Coturnix japonica: one gene and its partners. The protein of the gene in region 2 interacts with the protein of the main gene of each other region in a pairwise test. Links are inferred from orthologs where the notes say so. Each region holds a gene or a part of one and is shown on either strand. Other genes may lie near its edges.

Region 1 (5,210 bases), on a different chromosome or scaffold from region 2:
ACCACAAATTGTAACAGCTTTCACTGAAGGATCTGCATCTGCTCTTTTCAGTCCATCCTCTAATGCCTGGAGAACTGTCAAACTGAAATAAATAAGAGATTCAGTGACTAACAACCAACAATTTTACTTTTCCACCAACACAAAGCGGCTCAGTGAAAATAAGCAATGAATCCATGTATGTCTGTCCTCTGCTTTGTGTTCTGCCATACCCTCTCTGGTTGAATCTTTGTTAGTCTCCCTCTCACTTCAAGAGCAAGTGCCAAAATCCAACAAGCTTATCACTGCTCACCTCTGCCAAGAGGGGAAAAAAGCCTGCAATGGGATTTTGAGCAATTATGAAATTATTGATTTGAAAATATTGTGTAGAAAAAGACACATAATTCTGTCACAGGAAGCAATCCAATGTTTCTGTGCTTACATTAGCCGTGTGATCAGCAGCTGCAAAATAGCAATAGAAAGAGTCTGGTTCAGATGGTTCTGGATTTTCCATAGGAAATGACTTAGAAGCCCTTAGTTTCACAGCACTTACAGCAACACCCTCCTGCCAGAAGAAAGATTTGTCATCCAAGCTGCCCGTGTTATCTGTATTAATACCACACAATTGGTTTTGCCACATGAAACTCTACTTGCAAAAATATTTCTTCTCCCTTCATTATAGCTTTCTGCCAGGGAGAATTTCTTGTGGGATAAAGAGGAGGAATCATCACCCAGATTTGAGGCAGCTGCTTGTTCTCCTGCCCTGGAGCAATGTTCCTACCCCAGGACGTGTCCCAGCCCAGTGTGAGCTGCATGGCATGCAATGCACATGCTGTAAGTGATACTAAGAGATGTCATTTTCCATGAAGGAAATCATAGTAAAATGTATGACAGTAGAACTGTAAAAATCCTCAAGAGTATCACAACTTCAAACAGCCAGAGCATGAAAGAGACAAAAAGTCACCCTCATTTGCATAACTATTTCATTACTGCGCGACAGCATCATTCGTTTAACAGTAACAATGAGAAATTCACTGCTATGTATTCGGCTCTGCCATGTGTACTGTTTTGACTGCAAGAAAAGCCATCCCGATGGGGTGCTTCAGTGCTATGTATCTCAGCAGCATTCTGGGTGGGTACAACATGCCCCCCAGCACAGACTGTTGTTGGGGCTGACCACACCAGGTTATTTCTCCCTTGCACAAAACTCTACCCATCGGTAACAAGGGTTTGTAACAAGGCTTCAAATTATTATTATTATTATTTTGCAAGGATTTGCAAACACAGATTTAAAGATAAATGAAAGTAGCTTAAGGGAATCCTGAAAATTAACTCAGCCAGGCTGCAATCTAACAATAGAAAATGCTTTTAGTGCATCGTGCAGGTCTGCTCCCTTCCCTTTGTATTTCCCCCCAACATTCAAAGCATCCACAGTCACTGCATGAGGGATGGTCTGGTATGTATCTACATACCCTCATTTAGCATCCCTTACAGACCTGCTGCTCATGAATTTGTCTAATCCTTGATCCAGCCAACCCATCTGCCTCCACGGGCTCCTGTTGCATCAAGCTTTGTATGATCTCTTTGAAAACAATCTCCTAGCAGTGTAATCAAACGCCCCTACATCAGCTACTGAAGGATTTTGTAATCAAAAATAGACAAATTGATTTACCTTCTTTGGGGTTTCATAAACCTCACCCTTATTCTCCCACAGCCTTTCGCCTCCAACCTGATGACTCTCAACCTCTTCACTGTGCTTTCTTAGTGCATTGCTCTGGCCTTTCAGTTCTGGTTGTCCCCTTCCAGATTGTCCCTGTGTCCTTCTGCAAATGCATAGTCCAGAACTACAGGCAGTACTTCAGAAGTCCTTTAGTGTTTTGTTTTTTTATCATAGAGGAATGGTGCTCTCTCTTTTGTTCCGTTCTCAGCATATGTGCTGGGTTCTTTGGGCTGTCCAAGCACACTGAGCTGGTGATCTCAAAGATCTCTCAGTGGTAAAGATCCCTTTCCTGAACTGTAACTGACAGAGTTCTCTTTTTTCTCCTGCTTTTCCCCCCTATTGTTTTTAGCAAGCAAGTTTGGTTCATGCCAGCTCTGTTGGTGGAGAGATAGATTAGCTTGAAGAGAGGTTGTGTGGAAACCAAATTTGCTGCCAGCCTCACAAGTCAGCAAATATTCCTCAGGAAAGCACCGCCTGGGAGGTACGTGCACAGCAGCAGATGCTGTTAGACAGCAAAAAGCAAATTTCTACCCACGAGTGGCTTCTAAAGTGCTAATGGCTGGTGCGATGGAGAGGGAGCTGGGCAAACGGTGCCGAGTATCACATCTAATGGGGAGAAAGAGGTGAGGCTGCAGCACAGCAGTGCAGGAAAAGCACATCAGCCTTTTAAAAGGCATCTGTGCCTGCTGTGAAATTAAATTGTCAGGACTGCAGGACACAGCTCCGGTCTGTAACTTTCCCTGCCTCCTATCACCTACATAAACAGACATCTCAAGCAGCAATCACAAACCTGCTCCCCTGCAGACAGAGTAACTAAAATATGCAAGAGCAGAAGGTACATACAAGGATCACAGAGTGTCCTCTACCTTCCCTCGCTATAGCCAGGTCTCAGCTCAAAGGTCTTTCTGTGCTTTCAAACATTGCAGTGAAGGAGTGAGGGCTGGCAGCTGGAGCAATGCACCTTGTGTTCCCCATTCATGCTCATCCATTCCCCTCAGCTTTTTTTTAACCAACTTTCTGCTCTAGAAGCTGTGTGTGTCTGCAGTGGATGTTTTGCCTCTTGAGTACAGATGGAAAGGTGGAAAAGTCCAACTTCAGGGGCTCTGCTTGGCTGCCTGTCCCCGGCTGGTCTGAGATCACCTTCTTCACCAGGTGTAGCATTGGGAGGTCAATGCCTTACTCGTTTCTAAAGGCACATGAGCAGCCTGCACTCTGACACTGGGGCTGGATATCGGTGCCTCCTGCTGAGCCGTGCCCTCTGCTCACAGAGCTCTTTGCCCCAACCCCTGTGCGCACTTGGAAGCAGAGCTATCAGCCAACGTGAGAAGCAGCAAATCGTGGAGGGAAAGCCGATTTCCACCTAAATGCACAGGAGCTGGGGAGTGGAAGAGCTGAGCTAACGCTGCGACTGACGAGAGATTCCAAGGGAGATGGCAGAAAGCACACACCCATGAACCTGGCGTAAAAAAAAAACCCTTTAAACATTATAGCGAGGAGCACAAATCCCGAAGGAGCTCGGCGCGGTGATAGCAAAGCGATATCTAAGCCCTAAGCCTCGTGTTGTCGTTCTGCAGGAGCCACAGCCGCACCCAGCCCGTGTGGAGAAAGCCCCGAGTCCCTGTAACCGAGCAGGGGGCCGGGCCCGCCTCACGTAATGGCGGGCGGTGCCTCCTTTACCTCAGCGCGTTGACCGGCGGGTTGCGGAGCCGAATGACGGCCACGGCCGCGGCTCCCCTCGCGTACTGCGCCATACCGAGCACTGCCGCTGTCCCCTCGCTTCTGCCCGGCGCCCGGCCTACAGCGCGGCCTGCACAGGCGGGGCGGGGCGGAACGCGACAGGGCACGGCACCCTGCGGGGTCACTGTGTGATCCGTGTGTTTGAATATAAACCTTACAGCAGGAGGTTTAGGTTGGATATAAGGGAAAAGTCTCGTGCTAAAAAGAGTAGTGAAGCCCTGGCACAGGTTCCCAGGGTGCTGCCCAGTCTCTGGAGATGCCCAAGGTCATCTGGGTGGGCTCCCAATGGAGCTGTAGGCTTAATCCACAGTGTAGTTTAACCTAAATAGCTTGCTGTGGAAAGCTAGCTTATTTAGGGATTTTTTAATGTATCTCTAATCTCTCTTTTATAGGTCCTGGCCAAGTCAGCCACTTGGTATAATGAGGTCCTCCATCATAGAACATCCGGAGTTGGAAGGGACCCACAAGGTCTTTTAAGAGAATCTCGGAAATCAGCGTGTCTGTCTAGCCTGCCTTTTAGCAGATTGTTTAGGAGATTGTTAACTAACAACATGTGTGTGAATGGGAGAGGTGCTTGAGGTCTCATGACCTCTCTCCAAGCACATGGAGGTGCTGTACCCAAATGTATTATAAGGGATGTGCTGTTGTTCTGTTGGGGTGCATGGTGAGGGGTCTGGAGCACAAGGAGAGGCTGAGGGAACTCAGTCCAGAGAAAGGAAGGCTCAGGGGAGACCTTATTGCTCCCTACAACTCCCTGAGTGGAGGTTGTGGCAAGGTGGAGGTTGGTTTCTTCTTTCTCATAACTAGCAGTAAGACTAAAGGGAATAGCCACAGGTTGTGCCAGGCAAAATTCATGTTGGATGATAGGAATAATTTCTCCAGAACAGTGGTTAGGCCCTGGAATGGGCTGCCCAGGGAGGTGTTTGAGTCACTGTCCCTGGAGGTGTTCAAGAAGCATTCAGATGTTGTACTGAGGGACATGGTTTAGTGGGAAATATTGGTTGTGGGTGGACCGGATTATCTTGGAGGTCTTATCCAAGCTTGGTTGTTCTATGATTAGGTGGAAGGATCCCCTTGTGCATCCAGTGCTATTTTAAAGAATGCCAGCTTCTGAATAACACATTGGTTTTAAGGAGTTTTATTTGGACCAGGGTCTGTTTTGCAGCACATTGAGTCCAACCCCTGGCTCTACATAGTGCCACTTGAAAATCAGACCGTATGTCTCAGGGTGGTGTCTGGATTCTTCTTGAGCTCTGGCAGCTTAGGGCCGTGCCCACTGCCCTGGGAGCCTGTTCTCAGTGAATAAATCCTTCCTCGTTCCCCAGCTTAAAATGAGCTGTAACAAAATTGTTAAGTTTGCTCGTGTTCCTTGATGGATAGCCCTGAAGTTTGTTTGGATAATGGGAAGAGCTTTCTCATTGTATCAAGTAGATAATTAGATAGATATTGGTCTTTTTACCAAGCAAATAAGGGGAGTTCTGTTAAGTCTTTGTACCAAGTAGATAAGGAAGTTCTGCTTGGAATCAGCTATTGTGAAAGCAAGTATTGAATGCATTTGTACCTCCAAGAAAACCTCAGCATATGTGATGCAAGTAATGTACATAAGCTGAAGATCTTTTGTACAAGGTATTCGTGATAGGTGGAATGCAACCCCCGTGCTTTCAGCACTGAAAATACAGAGTGCCTGCCTTCTGATGCTCCAGTTTGATTCCTGAAGAGTTTCACAACAGAGCGACTTACAGCATCAATTTAGCACCCCAGATGGGGTAAGCCTCAA
Region 2 (4,471 bases):
TACTTCTATATTTTCAGCTTTCACTGCCGTATTTTCTAAGGCTCTTCTGACAGAATGAACAGTGTAATGAATATTGTTAGCTTTGAGCCCTGAAATTAAAAGTAAGGATGTCATTGGAAAACAAGTTACAAAGTTGGAAAGCTACAGAAAAAGACCTTATCTTTTATACTATGCACTGATATTACCTGACAGTACTAATGCAATGCCTCCACATGCATTGGGAGAAGACATGGATGTGCCATTCATAAGTTGTGTTCCTCGCAGAGTCCAGTTTGGAACTGAAGCAATAGCACCTCCTGGGGCACTGATACTTACTCCAAGGGCTCCATCAGTGCTAGTGTAAAAAACAGAATTGTTGAAAAAACAAGCTTTTATTTTCTGCACAGTTTACCTTGAAGTTACCTGTGCACTTAAAAAGATAATTTTAGCTTTGGCACAGTCCCAAATAGTATTTTACTAAATCATTAATCCATTAAATACAAGATAAAGCATTACATTAAGTAGCAACTTAATGTCAAACTAATCAGCTAGGCCTGTTTTCCACAGTGCAAGTTATTCAAACTTTCATTCCTTAAATACTATATAAAGTTCAGTCAGCTGACTTATCGAGCCAAAATTGAATTAGAAAGCATACACAAATACACTAAGTATTTCACTACGTAAATAAATATTTCACTAAGCCTATTTAACCATTATTGTTTTTAATGAAAATATAGTATATCTTAAAGCAAAATTAGTAAAAAAAAAAAAGAGACTAGAAAAAAAAAACATAGAATCTAGAGATCTGGATTTTGCACAGCCACTGCACAAGCTGGTAAAATTCTGAATTAACATACAGAAGTTGATACATTTTATCTTCTTCCCTTGCTGTTCTTGTCTCAAGCAGTGGTTCAGCATCAGCCGGGCTGAAGTCACCTTCTACCTTGCCCGATCATTTTTAAAACCCCAATGAGTACCTACGAAGCATCTAGGTTTTAACTGTATGAGGCTAATACTCTAAATATTCCTCACTCTGTTCAGATGAAAACATGTATCACTTCAATAAGGACCACACTGAGCTTTAACTATTAAATTTTGTGGAGAAGCAAGGTGGATTTGTATCATACACTAATAGCTTCATGTAAGTCTCAAAATCAGAGTTCTCTACATTACAGAGTCACAACAAATTTAATACACTTTATGACAGTCCTATATAAATTACAGTGTTTTTATCGTACATCCCAGACAAGCAGATCATGGCATATCTGTCTGAAAGCCTCTAGTGCTTACTAAGACTTCTTTTGGCTACCGCATTACTACCAAATTCTTATGAGACATAAAATAATAATAAAAATTCTCGAAGAACCAACATTTTCATAGATCTTTGAAATAATTCTCTATAACGAGTTGGAAAAGCATTCTTCTGTCCTCTCACACCTCCCCTAGATTCAAGCAAAACCAATAATCCTGCCATTATAACGTCACTGAAGCCAGAAGTAACAATACCACAACGGTATTTCTTCAGGTCTTCAGCACCAACAGAATAGTTAGCTATACCACACTACTGAATGAAACAAATGATACTGAAAAGAACCTTAGAAAAAGAACTGAGAAATAGTACACATCTCCAAACCACTTTACTCAGGCTTTCATTTTCTTAATAGACTTTACTGAAACGTACAGATTGTGACACTGACAGTTCAGTCATCCTCCCTCCCACTAAGAATTCTAGAGGCCTATAGATGAAGCCCTTCCAATACCAGCAGACTACCTAAGCAATTCCTGGGGAATACTTCCATTTTGGCATCAGTGACCAATTTTAGACCTGTAATTAGTTAACCAGAACTGCAAAGTAAGGAATTCTCTCCTTTTACCACAACTTACCTTGGCCCCCTGGATGACCAAGTATATTGATTTGCTGGCAGTTTTTCTCTCAAAGAATATTCAGCAACCATCATATCAGGTGATACATAGGCACCAACACCTATTAGAAAACAAACATCTTAGATGCAAAATGAATTTGTAATAAAACAAAAAATGAACTATTTTAAATACACTACAGAATGACTATTTTAAAAAGGCTTTAAAAGAATGTTTTTTCCATCTCAGTAAATTTTATTGTTACAAACCAAGTGTAAAGCACATGCTACAAAGTTACAATGCTCACAGTGATACTAAGTAATATGTAAATCTTGCATGAAATAGGTAACTTAGAAGTGCTATTTGCATTCAACTGAACAATCCCTATCCACCATCTGTACTTATTTCACAACAGATCACTACCAAATGCGCCTTCCCCTTTTTGGGGAAAATAATTTTGTCAGTGTTTACACTGACACAAACTACACTAAGGCCGCCAAAAAGGAATCTATGTGAATTGGTTCATGTTCCCATGACTCAGAGCTACACTACCTTAAACAGATGGGCAAAAATCACACTCCTCAACCACCACACGGTGGAAAGTCAGCATTTCCCTGCTGATCAGCTCAGTGGGCCCAGAGCCCAGGCAGAAGAGAAATACTGTCTTTTGTTTTAGGGGAAGAAAAAAACCCAACAAACGTTCATACCTATTACACTAGATGTAGTACCACCAGGACATCCTACTGTAGAAAGGCAAGGGCCATTATTTCCCGCACTTGAAACATAGATTACATTGTGTTTCCACACCGCTTCGTTAATTACTTCACAAATTCTCCTGAAGTATGGGAAAAAAAAAAAAAAAAAAAAAAGGAGTTATTTAATCAACAGCATAAAACAACATATTTGGTTTTATTTTTCCTCTCTGGGTGAGAAAAATCCCATTCATAGCAGGACCAGTCACAGAGAAATATTATGCAGCCAGCTTTTGACATCAGGCAGAGTAGGTTCCAGAACTGATCTTACTTATTCTGGAAGGGATAACAGCTGCACACATCAACATTAAAATAAAAACCCAGAAAACAAAAAAACACCCAGATTACATAGTGTTTCAACTACCACAACACTTCTTTGCTCTAAACTATTCCTATTATCAAAATTCACTTTCAATATGCCTATGTAGTTTTTGTAGGTATTTAAAAAAAATAAACTGCAATATTTTAATGCCATCATTTCGGCCTGGACAATTCTTCCTTACTGACAGTACATTTACAGAAAGTCAACACCTGAAATTACACTTGTGTGATGTTAAATAACTTTATGCTAAACACAGTAGCACTTACCCAGAATTTGGCCAATGTGTTGCCTCTCCATAGCTGTAGTTGACAAGATCACATTTGTATTTTATTGCTTCTATCATCTGATAAAGCAAGAATTAAAGGCAATGTAGGTAATTACGGAATAGGAAAAAACATCTGCTTAAAACTGCCTGCTACACATTTTTGGAAAAAAGCAACATTTTTTTCAACCCTCCGGAGGGGACTGAAGTAATCTACATTAAAGTGGTGTTTTCCTAGGAGCCTAGTTAAAAAACAAAACAAGCCATTAACATGCCATGTACCAAGCTATAAATTAAGACATTAACATAATATAAAACCACAAAACTCATTAGTATTAAATATGTGTCCTTAATAAGACAAATTTCTCCTTTCTTCTGTGGTTTAGTTAAATTCCAAAAAGCCACAGTAGTAGTATTAACACAAATCTTCACTATAGCAATATATTCTATGATCTATACAAATAATCATTTTATATCTTCATTTCTTCTCTTACATCCATTCTCCTCAAACACGTAACTGTATAGCAGAGGCATTAAGACTTTGATCATGAGAAAGTAGTATTTTTTCCTCACTCTTAAGAAACAGTCACAAAGTTATACACCAGTTGCTACTCTAAGTATTATAGTTATGTAGCTAACCATAAAAAAAAAGGATAAGAATAAATAACTTTAAATAGGCTTACAAGCCACTTATCCTATGGGCTAAGTTAGACAAACACCGCAACACTCATCTGAAAAAAAAATATATATAAGCCTTACTGAATGTTTATTTCTTATAAAACAGAAGTTTTTCAATGAGCTTGGAATTATTGTTTCCTTTTATTTATTTTAAGGCTGGTGGTACTATAGGACTATAAAACCAAAGCATATGAGTTACTGAACTAGAAAGTATCTCAAATTATTCCATAACAAATTCAAACTGCTGAGGTTAACGTTTATCCAATGAAATACCTACAGCTCTTATTAAACCAGTGCCAGTTTCCATTGTACTAAGTCTCGTATCACCAATCTTGATTGCAAGAATCTGAGCTCCAGGAGCCACACCATTTCGCTCTGGCTCTTCAGGAAAATATCCTGCTGCAATACTAGCCACGTGTGTTCCATGTGCCCCTAGGCAAATGAAAATTCAAACCACTGTATGGTTAGTGAACTTCTTTTATGCTGATTTAATACACTATAGCTCTATTAGTTTTCATTTAATGAGCTACATTAGCAAACCCAGAATTGAAACTACTTAGTATAATATGATATTTATTTAAATGAGAGGCAAAAAGCCAGTAATTAGGAGCAATTTGC
Region 3 (5,125 bases), on a different chromosome or scaffold from region 2:
AAAACACACAGGAAACCTGGACAGGTCAGGTGGGTAATCTTATACTACCTTCCTTAACAGTATTTTCCTGTGAATACTCACACATGTAAAGATGCATACTAAGTATGGAACCTGAGTAGTGGGGAAAATAAATAAATAAAAAATAAATAAGTAAACAAATGGCTGCATAACACTTCTCACTCTCTAGCAGGCAGTTTGTCTCTCTGCCACAAACCCCACATCCCTGCCACTGAATCAGATACACCAAAGCTGTCCCTGCACAGAGAGCATATAGAGAGGACAGGACCTCGGTCCTGCCCATAACCAACATTACATTCTGGTGTCTTAAGCAGTTATTAGAAAAGCCAAGCACAAGAAGCCAAAAAAGCTTACTTCAACCCAATTCGCTGGTGATGGGTCAGCTTGTGCTCATTTTTTCTTAGATCTAGAAAATTAAAAAAAAAAAAAAAAAAAGAAAAAAGTTACTTAAGTTCTTACAGTGCGTTTTCAACAACACAAAGATGATGCAAATGAAGAATATTCAACGAGCAAATAGCAACTTCAATGAAGAGATTTTTAACAGGTTGCTCAATAATGGCTCTAACAGGCTCATAATGCCTCTAGCCTGTGCACTACATTTAGATTAGCTAGTTGTTGTTATTTTATCAATACAGTTTCCTCAAACTAAAGGCTTATCTGCTATCACACTGTTACCGTGAAACAAGCAATGCAACATAAGAAACATTATCAGAGAATAAACTGAGGACCCAAAGTTACACTCAATACTCACCTTCTAAAGTCTTAATTCCTTCCTCTACAAACTTCCTAGCGGCAGCAGGACTGCAAAAAAGGCAAGGCATCACGCAATTAGGAACAGCAGGAACCTTACAGCACTACAAAGGACATCACAGTTCACTCAAACTGCCCTGATTTTTCAAGGTTGAGATTACGGTTGCTTGCAGCGCTTATCATCCTTTTGTCATGCACATTTTAGCTTGTGTTTTCAAGCAACAGAGACAATTATCCAACTGCACATTTTTAGTATTGATGGAACTACATACTGATGTATGATTTTAAAAAGTAAACCAACACAATCTCACCAAACAGCCAGCACAGCTTTAGACAAATACTAGTATGGAACTGAAGGCACAAGGACTACATTCACTATTAACAGCCTCTGAATCAGCTTAAGGCAACAATGCAAGTGTCTTTAGACTACAACTTAAAAACAAACAAAAATCTACACAAGACTCTAGCTTGCAACCTACACTACAGAAAAGCAGCTTGGCTGAAGAGTTTATCATAAGCACAACATAAACACCCACAACCTTTCAGCAAATCTTTCTTCAGAATTACTGAAGCACCACTGCATCTCCTGCCTTCCACCTCAGGCAGTCTCAATATTGCTTCTCCTTCCCCACAGCATTCCACCCAGTTCTGTTTTTAAGCACCGATATTCTATATTTAGCCAATCCTGTTCTTGGCAAGCAGTATCACAGCCCTTCTCACTCAAGATATTGACTACTGCTGCTCTGCACATGCTAAATTAAGTGCCTGTCTGTAGACTGAGCTCTTTTTTTGCCAAAATTTCCCTACGCACAGTATGGGAACAAGAACAGGCCTGAGAACTCCTAATATAATCTTTCTGAAAAGTCCTGTTTTTGAGGGGTTGGCAGGGCTCTGGATCTCCTTTTACAAACATGGTACAAATACTATTCTCCCTAATCAGATTTTGCACCATAAGTCTCACAGGCTCCTACTATGTCTTCTTGATTTTACTTTTCTCAACCTTCCGATTCAGTTTCTGATCGCCTCCCTCCCTCCTTCCCCTCTCAGCTTGCACACAGGAGCTTTCTACTTCCACTCTTCTACTGCAAAACCTGTAACTGACAGCTCTACAACTCTGACAACAACCACTTCCCCCCTGCACTAACAGATAATAACCAAGCTTTACCCAATTCCAGTAACTCGTGTCAGGAAGTTGATGGAAGCACTTGTATCATCTTGTCGAATCTGCAAGAACATAATAATGTGAACAAGCTCTTCTTTACTCCATTTCAGTAGACAAAGAAAGCTTATAAAACAACTTGGTCAGATTCTGCTTTGGAGACCTACCGTAAATCAGAACAAAACAGTGTTAACAATAATACTATGCATTAGGATGGTGCCACAATGTACCATTCCTGCAAATTAATTGTCTTAACTGCCCATACTAAGGTAAACAGCGTGGTTAAAACTCAATTCCACAGCCTTCCAGAGCCTGCATTCCACTTCTTACAGAAGACATTCATGTGCCAATTGTACAATCTAAAATATAAGTAGACAGTTCAGAGGCTTTGCCTAAGCTTCTTGTTCCCCACTTTACTTTGCAGAGTGCTTGACATCAGTCCCTCCACAGAGAGGGACAGAAGCTGCACAAAAGCAGCAGACCAATTCCCAAAGAACAAAGTAAAACAACTGCTGAGAAATAAAGCACAAAGGAAAGAAACACACCTTTTCCAACTTGCGGAGCTTTCCAGTGGATAAAAACTCATCTATTTTCTCAGCTATTTTAGCACCTACTCCATCCTAAATGTTGAGGAAGGATGAAACACAAGTCAATTTCAAGGCCACATACAGCCATCACAGCTAAGAAAAATAAAGCTCAACAAAAAGCCGTGAAGTCACAGAAACCATTTTAAAACATTGTTCTATGAGAGATCGGGAGCACTGAAAGGTACAACACAAGCAGCACAAACTCAGCACTTCAAGTGCCGCATTACAAACTCGCTGAAAACAGTTATTTTAAACTGGGTTTTGATTCCTGCAACTCCAATTCCCCAAACTTGGTGAGACAGCAACACAGCAAAGCGGAAACCTGCCTTGCACAGAAGAGACCAGCTGGAGTCCCCAGCTCAAGTCTATGAGACCCCCACAGCTGATGCGCTCCGCTCCCCCCTTCCCTGAGCCGGCTGCCAGAAGCTGACGCAGGCAGAGCCGTTCGCACATCGCTTCCCTCCTCCTGGAAACCTCGGTACCGTCCTAACGCAACTCCTTCACCCCGAGAAGCCCAAATTCGCCCCGGGACCCACCAGCTTCTTCGCTTCGGCTCCGCTCTGGATCCTGCTGGGGTACCGGGAGATGGCGGAGGCCGCTTTCCTGCGGAACGGCATCGGTCAGAGCCCAGAGCCGCGCAGCGCTCAGCCCCCAGCACGGCTCGTGCAGCGAGGCCGGGCCAGACCCCCGAGAGCCGGGAGCGAGTTAAAGAAACGGGTCAGGCCTGAGGAAGGAGACGGTACCTGTACGCGTTGTACTTGTGGATGGCCCGGCTCACGTTGCGCTCGTAATTCGCGAGCTCTACGGGGAGAAACACAGTCGGACCAGTCGAGCCGAACCCCAGACCCGCCCCCCGCGCCCCCCATACCCATGAGGAAGTCCGTGATGCCCTGGTTCAGGCTCTCCTGCGGCGCTTTCCGTTTGCTCATGGCGGGCAGCAGGAGCGACTAACACCGGAAAAGCGGCCGGCAGCGCTTCCGGCGGTGACAGGGAAAGGCCGCGGTTCCGGCGGGGAGGAGCCGGGTTGGGTTCCGCGTTCCGCCGGCACAGCGCAGGCGCGGCCGGCAGAGGAGTGGTCCGGCCGGAGGGGAGGCCCAGGAGGCCCTGGAGGCCCCGGAGGTCCCGGAGGTCGGAACTCTGCTGCTGCTCGAGAATCAGCCGGGCATTTGTTGTGGTTCACTTCAGAACATAATGCGGAACTGTGGCAGTTGTAAAGCATTGTATTGAGGGCTGCGGACGTTATGTTCCTTGGGACACACTGGTTTCTTTTTAAGCTCCTCGTGTTCTATGTTGGAGTTGCACGTAGCTATAATCAGTGAAGGGTGCTGATGGAGATACCTGCCTGGTCCCTGTATATCCCAGCTAATTTAAACGGCAATATGGGGTTTGGACTGGTTTCCAAGTGCTCTTCCCAGTTCCTTATGCACGTTCAGGGTGCCAGCTTAGGTACTATGCTATCAGTCTGTCTGCATGTATGCTCTGCAAGAGTAATTTACGTTATGTAGAGGAAGCCTTCCCAAAAATCAGAGAATGGTGAGTGGCAGGAAATATGATGAGGTCTAGGAAAGAGGTTAGAAGCTTGGGGACCCCTAGTGTCATGGGATTTTACTCTTGAACACCTGTGGGACCCTGAGAAACTAAGTGAGTATCTGAGTAAGGGATGGTGCAGCTCAGAAAGATCTGAGGAGGAATGGCTTATTTGGGGCTTGGCTTGTGCTTACCGAGCTCTATATAACACTATTGTGGAGAGAGAGAGTTCCCAAACTGAGATCCAAACCAAAAGTTTGGATCAGTCCGAGTCAAAAGTCCGAGTCAATCTTGGTCACTCAAAGGAGGCACCAGTATCAGTGTCAGTTGCCCCTGTGGAAGGCCAGAAATGGAAATGGGTGTCTCACAAGGGTTCTCACAAGGGTTGTAATCATAACCTTGGACTATAATGGGGGAAAACATCCTGCCCTGCGCCTTTGTTGTGCCTCTCACTGTCCTTCATAGCACAGTGACTGTAGGCTCAGTCCTTCACAGCCCCAAAGGACCAGGATGAAGGAGCACATGACAGCCATGGCCAAAGTTTCACTCGCGGAGAATGAAATACCCAGGGGGAAAAAATGGGGAAAGCAATGCTTTTGTAGGGTTAATAGTAATTCTATGTGCTTCCCAGTTTCTGGTACAGAATTCATTATTAGTGATGATGATGATATCAAATGACATCTCTTTGGTTTTCCATGTGCACAGGCTGTCTGTTGTGTATGGCTGCCCAACTGACCAATGCAGTGATTACAAGTCGTGTGAAGGAGTTCATTCTCATCGGCCTCTCTGAGAGTCGAGGTGTGCAGGGGCTGTACTTTGTGATGTTTCTTTGCTTCTATGCAATGAACGTGGTGGGAAATCTGCTCATTATTGTCACCGTGATGAGCAGCCAACACCTGAACTCCCCCATGTACTTCTTCCTCTGCTACTTGTCCTTTGTAGACATCTGTTACTCCTCTGTCACAGCTCCCAAAATGATTGCTGACTTCCTTGTCAAAAACAAAACCATCTCCTTTGTGGGCTGCATGGCGCAGCTCTTTGGGGTCCATTTCTTTGGCTGCACAGAGATCTTCATCCTGACAGT

Evidence for each region.
Region 1: the proteins of TPP2 (region 2) and EHHADH interact in binary tests that used the Homo sapiens proteins (3 or more experiments, as listed by UniProt). The two-hybrid records come from large-scale screens. The link is inferred for Coturnix japonica from reciprocal best matches to the Homo sapiens genes TPP2 and EHHADH.
Region 3: the proteins of TPP2 (region 2) and POLB interact in binary tests that used the Homo sapiens proteins (3 or more experiments, as listed by UniProt). The two-hybrid records come from large-scale screens. The link is inferred for Coturnix japonica from reciprocal best matches to the Homo sapiens genes TPP2 and POLB.

The regions. Positions count from the first base shown.
Region 1 is NC_029524.1:2,567,186-2,572,395, forward strand, and holds the start of EHHADH (peroxisomal bifunctional enzyme), read right to left. Parts: upstream 3,521-5,210; 5' UTR 3,448-3,520; coding exon 3,374-3,447; intron 1,004-3,373; exon of another isoform or gene 659-1,003; intron 83-658; coding exon 1-82. UniProt on the Homo sapiens protein: Peroxisomal trifunctional enzyme possessing 2-enoyl-CoA hydratase, 3-hydroxyacyl-CoA dehydrogenase, and delta 3, delta 2-enoyl-CoA isomerase activities. Catalyzes two of the four reactions of the long chain fatty acids peroxisomal beta-oxidation pathway.
Region 2 is NC_029516.1:128,553,964-128,558,434, forward strand, and holds part of TPP2 (tripeptidyl-peptidase 2), read right to left. Parts: intron 4,286-4,471; coding exon 4,131-4,285; intron 3,257-4,130; coding exon 3,180-3,256; intron 2,675-3,179; coding exon 2,547-2,674; intron 1,964-2,546; coding exon 1,864-1,963; intron 335-1,863; coding exon 186-334; intron 90-185; coding exon 1-89. UniProt on the Homo sapiens protein: Cytosolic tripeptidyl-peptidase that releases N-terminal tripeptides from polypeptides and is a component of the proteolytic cascade acting downstream of the 26S proteasome in the ubiquitin-proteasome pathway.
Region 3 is NC_029537.1:4,114,629-4,119,753, forward strand, and holds the start of POLB (DNA polymerase beta), read right to left. Parts: upstream 3,521-5,125; 5' UTR 3,444-3,520; coding exon 3,383-3,443; intron 3,316-3,382; coding exon 3,258-3,315; intron 3,118-3,257; coding exon 3,051-3,117; intron 2,548-3,050; coding exon 2,473-2,547; intron 1,993-2,472; coding exon 1,934-1,992; intron 820-1,933; coding exon 770-819; intron 425-769; coding exon 373-424; intron 1-372. Other genes in the region: olfactory receptor 4S2-like, read left to right, coding at 4,716-5,125.